2 linked regions of the Solanum lycopersicum genome follow. The protein of the gene in region 2 interacts with the protein of the main gene of each other region in a pairwise test. Links are inferred from orthologs where the notes say so. Each region holds a gene or a part of one and is shown on either strand. Other genes may lie near its edges.

Region 1 (4,439 bases), on a different chromosome or scaffold from region 2:
GGTACCTGCTACCTCCCACCAACAAAGGTGTTGATACCTGAGAACTGTAATCACCAAGGTTTAGGCCACACCCTTGGGTAAACAAAATAAGGAACTTAACACAAGAAAACTAGTTCTACTCCCAAATCAAAAACTTAAAACTGCTGCATCTGACACAGAAAGTAAAATGAATATTAAAATTGATTTAATTTTTACCTCATATATTTTATTCAATTGGAATTTTATACACTCTTCTCTTTAAGAAGTGAGTGAACTTGAATAGGCTGATTGATCCAGGTAGCGACAGCCTCCAATCGAAAGGAACCGTGTGTACGCTAGAAAGTTCATGTATGTAGTAAATTTTCTTGCATTAATATATTTTCATCATTTGGAAATTGTTTTATATTAAAGCCCATGTTTTTATTACGCTCTACTTGTGAAGTCCAAGGAGAGTTTGGGCCTTTCAAAGTTATATCTCCTTTGAAACACTGTTACAGGGCAAAATATAATTGGGATTAATTACAAGAAAGATGTTTATTAAGTGACACCGAAGCAAGAATCCAAATAAAATGTAATGAACTTTCATAGGAAGAGGGAGGTCCTAACATTTAATATGATCTTAAGTCACCCTGCTTTGACCTAGTATCTTGTCAATTTTATCTAGGATCTGGCTCAATTCATGGACTTGAATAATCTAAAACATGATTTTGGTACCATGAAACACAACTCATGCAAAAGAGCTTTTCCAAACAGGCAATGTCATTACTTTTACGAAACAAAAAATAGGGATACAAAGACAACCTGCCGATGGGACCAAGCATGATAATTTTTTGCATCCTGAGAAAATATTTTCTTGGTGAATTCTAGCTCATTTGTCACAGCATCAGCTCCCAGCTTCTCAGCAAGCCACCGTCTATGATGCCTGTAAATTTCTATAATTAAGAATTTCGACCAACGTGTGCATACTTACAACTAAATACAAATAAAGAATTCAACAGATAAAGAATAACCTATGGAGGAAAAACTTTCTTTTTCTGTTAAGGCTATAACAGAGTCAAGTATAATATGTAGACACATAGGTACTGAAAAGGGTAAAAGAAAGTCATAGGCAAAAAAAAACACCTAGAAAATCTTGAGACACGGACAACATGCAAGTGTACATGGGTCGCAAGAATTTGTACAAAAGTGAAAAGCATGTGGGCCAACTCAAAATTTAGAAAGACAATTAACACGGAGGATGGTACTTCCAAAAATAAACTTTAAAAAGTATATTTTAAAAAACAAAGATCAAATTTGAACTCAAGGATTAGCTTTGAGAAGGAAAACAATTATGAGCCTTGGTTGGATGACAAAGCGAAAGCATATTAAGAGCTTGAGTAGTAAGTCACGGTCAAACCAACCATGATAGCTTAGACCCCGTTCAAGCTTAACATCCAAAGTTGCCAAAGAATGCTTATTTCATCCAAGCACAATGGAACAAGAGAAAAGAGAAAACCATCACGTTCTACGTAACTTTAATAGATATTGAGTGTGTTTGCATAATCTTATAATGCGATAAATCCAGCTTATAAGCACTTTTTGGCTTATCTGTAGTATAAACCAACATCGACCAAAAATCATAAGTTGAACTCCAATTTGCGACTTATCAGATTATAAGCACTTTTATTTACCAAGTTTTTAAAATTTTATCCCTAATATTTTTTTTATAATTCTTGAAATAGATTTCTGAAACAAAATCCTTTTCAAACAAACGAACAAAGCCTAGCTGTCAAATTTAACACTCACAAAAAGAATCCATACGTTTACTCATAATCACCTTTCAATAATGTTTCAAGTGATGCCAAGGCAGTGTACTGACTCAAGGCTATATACGGCATTCAAGAACCTGAGACCCACTGCAAGATAAGTGAGTTTAATAACCAAGATTTCCCTTGTCAATGAGTTTTCCTAATTCCAATTTTCATCTACAAAATTTGGTCTTCCCATGCAGACAATTTTGTGCAGTACAACATTTTCAGTTCACTGACAGAGTCTACAATCATGCAGTTCCTCCATGTGATATCCATTAGCCTTGGACAGGCAATATCGGTCACTTGTCAACAAAGCATTTACATTACATCACCTTTACTTTAGCAGAGACCTGATTTTCAACTTACCATATTTGATAATTTTTGGTATTCTCCCCAGCAATGCGATCAACAAACTTCAATTCTTCACGTAAATCAACACCCAATGCCTCCAGCACAACACGCCTAAATTGCCATACCTAAACATGAAAAATTAACAGTTAACTAACAACTCTGTAGTACAGTATAGTCTACAAAGCAGCATCCTATTGTGCACCATTATATGTATGTCACTAGTGTGCACCATATATATGAGTGTTTAGATGTGTATGTGATAAACTAATATAGAAAAACCAAAGAACAACAGCTCCAGGCTCGAACCCTATATGCATGTGTCTCACTAAGTGTGTCCATGTATAGTTTGTGCGTGTGTCTGAAAGAAAAAGGTATATATAGACTTAGTTAGATATACAACTAAATCCTGGTTTAAACCCATAAGAAGTGTTATGGTTCTAGAGCTTCCTCGAGCCTCAATGATGTATACGGATTCTAATCCAATTACCTCACGAACTTCCATTTTAAGTTCAAATTAGAACTCTACACATTTTTACACACAAAAATTTCAATTATATACCAAAATAATCCCACAAAACTTCCCACAATACTGCATTAAGGCAACCAAAATGATATAACTGGAAGAGGTAATTGCAGTTACAGACTTACAGTGTAATTTCCAGGGTTTAGCTGAATAGCTTCACCAGTAAGCTGGAGGGCGCGTGTAGATCGCTCATCGGCTACGTAAATTGCCCGGAAGTAGTCCATGGTTTCAGAGAAGTCTTCTGTGTAGGCTATGGGAACAACCGGGCAGGGCCCGTCGTCTTGCGGAACGGGCTTCACATCGGCCCAGTCGGGCCTTTCCTTGAAAGGAATTCGCGTTTTCGTCACCTCACAACTGTCCATTTGATACTCGGCTCCGGGATCCGATCGGAAAACTGCCGGCGGTAGTTCAATACTGGAATTGCCTTCGGGGTAGCAGGAATATAGAATTAATATTAACGTATTTCAATTATAAAAGGAACTATAAAGTCTAGATTCCATATCCCATATCACATGACTAAATGCTTATTCAAATATTGTTATATGTTTTTCCGTCTCATGTTTTTATTAATAAAAAATATATATATTTTCAAATTATAGTAAAATAATATATCGAACGTTTAGTAATATTTTTAGGACATTAATGTAGTTACTATACAAAAACTAAAAATATATATATCATTATATTTGGGAAAATTATATATAATAACAAACTAATAATCTAAATTAAATGGAATAGCTAGAGTTTGATTTAATTATGCTCCATAGCAAACATTAGCTAAAATTTGCAGCGTTTCTCTCCCAAAAATCTCGCTCGCGTCTATGGCTTTATACACAGAAGTGTATAATTCTGTTTCTGTTTTGTATAAAGCGAGAGAAAATTGTATATACACATGCAAAAATGTATATCTTCGTGTTATACACTTAATTATACAAGTTACAAACATTTTACTTCAAATATTGCAGAGAAAAAGGCCAACGAATTATACAATTGCAGTGAAAAACAATTTTCTCTAGCTTTATACAACAGAAGTATATATATTGTGTTTCTGTTTTTGTATAAAGCAACAAAAACATATATCTTCATGCTATACACTTATAATTATGCAATATACTTGCATTTTAATTCGATTCAACTGTATGCAAAATAAATTATACAATTGCAGCGAAATAGGCCAGCGAATTATACAATTTAGGCCAACGAATTATACAATTGTATATGTATAGCAAATTATACAGTTTTATGTCTGCTATGGAACGCAATTATGCAAAGTTTGCTATAACATACAAATATGAATTTTTTGTTTGCTATATGTAAAAGTTGTCCATATTATATGCTTTAGTTTTTTAACTACAGATAAATCAATATCTCAAAAGAATAATAAATAATATCTACCTATACTATTTATGACAGTTTAAAAATGTGTTTATACTTTTTCCCTTAATAAAATTGATACTTATAAGTAAATATGTTTTAAAGTTGAAGAGCTTTTTCTTTATTATCCACAAAATATTATTGTTACTATCTAAATGTATTAAAAGAGATCACGACATATTAAATCAAATACATAGGCATTGATTATGAATTAGATTGAATATGTTGTGTAAAATATAATATTACATTTGAAATTTAAAATATAAATATTAATAATAATTTATTATTATTTCTCCACATGATATTAAAACGTTATATATTGATTCAAACAGTTCTAGCAAAATTGATATCGATCAACAACTTTAAATATCAACATTATATAGTCGATTCTATGAGCAACTAACATCAATTTCTCAAATTCC
Region 2 (3,828 bases):
CAGTGAGAGGAATGCCATAGTCCTGTCACTCTGATGCTAAAAAAAGAGAGTGTACACACACATGATTATCTTAGCAACACTCATCAGTCCCCAACAGAGTCCTAAAGCAACTTACAATTAAACCTGGCAAGTCCAATCGATTCACTTCGTTGATCAGAATCATTGCAGCCAACCCACAGAAAGTATACCTAGAAAATGAGTTAAATGTAAAGGGCTTCAGTAACATCATAAGCTGAGAAGTGATAGTTCTACTACGGCAACTAACATTGAAAGAGAACTATAAGAAAAAGAGCGAAACAAGATTAGAAAGATGAGAATATCTCCAACGTGAGACTTACCCACCATGAGCTTCAGAACCTGGTTCGCCAGCAATTCCACCTTCATAAGTCTGACAACTGAAGCAAAAACGGAGAACAGCTTAGGAAAGGCTTATCCATGAAAATACATTCTTAATATTTCAAACAAAAAATGAGGGACATTAAGGAAAAGAAAGATCTGCCACCTGCTTCTTATCTTGTATTTCTGACACTAAATAGAATAAATTCTTATTTATCCTAGCTAAATAATTCTTATGATGAGACTAGGATTAAATCAAGAACTTCAGAGAACAAGAATAAGAACAAACTAGAATAAAAGAATAGTTCCTTCATCAATTTTTATTCAAGGACTTTCAACTTTCTCAGATGGCAAGAATTAGGAAACATCACTTATCTCTCATATTTTAATCCCTGACAAATGGAGGCTGTCATCAACTCAGAGCCATGAATATTCAAACATAACATCGTTCTGAAATGATACTTGGAAAATTGTTCTCTTACCAATGGGATCGAATCTCAAAGAAACCCTTCAATGCAACTTAAGTACCAGCTTCGGTCATGCATTTAGTATGTATAATTAACTAGTCAACATGCACTGACTAGTTGGTGACAGTAATATGAATACTCCAAATCCATTACTTTGTGTCATCCCAATACTCAATATTTTGCCTTTAAGATATATTAGTTCTTAAAATCTCACACCTGCTCTGCCATAAACATATAACTTACCACACAAAAGGACCTCTGGCAAACACAACCTAATGTAAGTTTAACAACAACTAATTCTTTTCTTTTCCTTAATCTCAACTAATTGATGTAATGGCTTTTGGGTGATTGTAGGTCTTTAAACAGTTTTTCTTCATGTAATTTAGAATCTACCTCGTTGCCTTTATAGCAACTTCAATTATTCCAGTATTGTACCTAGTCTGGTATATTCGAAGGTTAATGTAAACATAATTAAACCATTTCGACAAATCTTCACTCATGATCCTCTATGCGTGCTATCTTGTTGCGTCTTTTGTTGGAGGTGAGCATTTCCAATCTGATTTTCAAGCTTGTATGACCAAATATCCATATTAACATCTATAATTCATGACAGTTAACTAGTGAACATGTTGGGTTTTATAGAAAACAATCACTCACGTATTATCGCTAGTCTCACAACCATTTGTAATATAACTTGCTTTCTTTTCTGATAGTTATCTTTTTATCAGATTACACTCCTCTAAAACTCCCAAATTTCTGCCATGCTCTTTTAATTTCGTGTAATTTCTCTTGGAAGACAACTACACTAGTAAATCAAAAAGAGATATTACAGCTTGAGTATGAATACGGTATACATAAAGAGAGAGTTGAATAAGCTGTAGCAGATGAGTGCGCATCTCAAACCAACCTTAGGATGTAATTTCCAACACCATGAATCAGCTCGTCATCCACAATGTTTAATATATTTGCAACCTAAGAAACTAATGTATCAATTAACATGAAAGCACATTATTCCAAAGACAATTAAGAAGAAAAACGTCAAACTTGAGAATGTAACATGCAAGAAATGTGTATGTAATAAAGTATAAAATATCTATACGATTTGCAAGAGAGGCGTGTATCAGAAGGCTTTGATTGCCTCGTGAATGAAATTCGGGAAATGTTCGAATCTAATTTATTTTCAAAAAACTAAAGAGACGGTTAAGTTTCACATATTTTTAATTTTTTTTATGACAAGGGAAACCCGCAACCACTACCCTTTGGGTGCGCACAGGGTAAAACCCCCGCTCTTATGCAATAGCTCGCAAACCACATAAGAGAGGTAAGCTGCACTAGGCAAGCCCGGTGCAACAAGCTCAAACAAGAAGGCAAAACCCCTTACTTTCGCTGGCAAGGTTTCGAACTTGAGACCTCCAACATGGAAGTCCCAAGCCCAAGCCACTAGGCCACCCCGAAGGATAAGTTTCACATACGTAGCTTGCATGATTCATCAATAAGAAAATTATATTTGCTTAAAGCTTATCTCAGAGTCTTCCATCCAAGTGCAGCAAAATAATGAAAATATGACCAGAACTCAGATCACAAGGAGATCACACTTACAGAAATGGCAGTATAACAGGCACGAACATCTACTTCTCCACCATCGTGCATCCTGCAGATAATATTTGAAGTTTGAACTTAGCAAAGATGGGAAGTGGCAAGTCATTTTTGAGGAAACTTGAATATTGAAAGAAAATGCTAGAAACAAGTGATCTCTCAGATGCTGTTCGTTAAATACACTTGGATCTACAAACTCAAGAATACACACACAAATATTTATACATTTACAGATCAGGGTAAAAGTGTCAACTACAGTGCTAGTTCACCCAAAAGTCTAGTTCTCCTCAGAAGGAAAACATAACAAAATTAGCAGGTAGGATTAATCAGGAGAATCAGTAGTAATGGAAAACATTAGCACATACAACATAGAGATGGCAAATTTAAAATGGATAAACAAGTTACAAATAGAAAGAAAAGCACCTAGATTTTTTTTAGAAACTGATAGTAGATAAATACAGCAGACTAGGAATGAGATACAAGGGAAGACATGAATTGGGGAGCTGATCAAATAATGTAAACAAGTAGAAAGCATCCTACCTGAATCCACCACTTGCGTCTTTCATTCGCAGCAAAAATGTGTACAACTTTTCTCTGAGGCATATTACTAGATCAATGTCAACAGGAATGAACAATAGATAAGACACCAACAAAAACATACTATAGCTTGTGCACCTATTAATTGATGACAGAGCTTCAGGTTTGCCCAAAGTTATTAGTGAATTGACTGCAGCATAAGTAGTTGCAAGATGAGGCATCTGAAAAAAGCAATACAATACAAGTATTACTTCAAAGAACCTTAATGATAAGAAGCACAAGAACTGTATAAAATTAACAGGTTGACCAGAATAAACGAAGCTTGGAACTGTTAAATTTGTGATTCTAAAAGAAACAGAAAAAGAGTTTCAAGCTAACTTATAAAAGAACAAGAACCAGGCCAATAGTCTTTTTTTTTTTAATGACAAGGGTAAAACCCCGCTCCTATGCAATAGCTCGCAAACTACATAGGAGAGGTAACTCGCACCATGCGAGCTCGACCCAGAAGGCAAACCCCTTGCTTTCGCTGGCAAGGCGTTTCCGTTTCGAACTGGATACCTCCAACGTGGAAGTCCCAAGCTCAAACCACTGACCATGCCAATAGTTAAATGCATATCAATACAGATGACTATTTCCCTCTAATAGAATTATCTTTTAATTATAAGTCCTCCAACAGAATTATAGAGTTAACAAATTTACAATATTCAAATCAACCATCATCACAAAATAAAGCAGCATACTGCATATTAAAAACAATTGAAGACATCAGATAATCAAACTCAATGTGAAAATAAGCATGAAGAATCTGACACAAATCTGATTTAACGGCACTAAGACTGGAGTGGGAGAATTTGACTTGCCTGACCAGGTCCACCTCCATAGCCACCATCTT

Evidence for each region.
Region 1: the proteins of FTB (region 2) and FTA interact in binary tests that used the Arabidopsis thaliana proteins (3 or more experiments, as listed by UniProt). The link is inferred for Solanum lycopersicum from reciprocal best matches to the Arabidopsis thaliana genes ERA1 and FTA.

The regions. Positions count from the first base shown.
Region 1 is NC_090805.1:47,713,449-47,717,887, reverse strand, and holds the start of FTA (protein farnesyltransferase/geranylgeranyltransferase type-1 subunit alpha), read right to left. Parts: upstream 3,099-4,439; 5' UTR 3,006-3,098; coding exon 2,769-3,005; intron 2,246-2,768; coding exon 2,136-2,245; intron 902-2,135; coding exon 781-901; intron 1-780. UniProt on the Arabidopsis thaliana protein: Essential subunit of both the farnesyltransferase and the geranylgeranyltransferase complex.
Region 2 is NC_090801.1:65,768,540-65,772,367, forward strand, and holds part of FTB (farnesyl protein transferase subunit B), read right to left. Parts: coding exon 3,797-3,828; intron 3,158-3,796; coding exon 3,075-3,157; coding exon of another isoform or gene 2,994-3,074; coding exon 2,940-2,993; intron 2,455-2,939; coding exon 2,403-2,454; intron 1,776-2,402; coding exon 1,711-1,775; intron 396-1,710; coding exon 339-395; intron 189-338; coding exon 116-188; intron 1-115. UniProt on the Arabidopsis thaliana protein: Catalyzes the transfer of a farnesyl moiety from farnesyl diphosphate to a cysteine at the fourth position from the C-terminus of several proteins having the C-terminal sequence Cys-aliphatic-aliphatic-X (CaaX).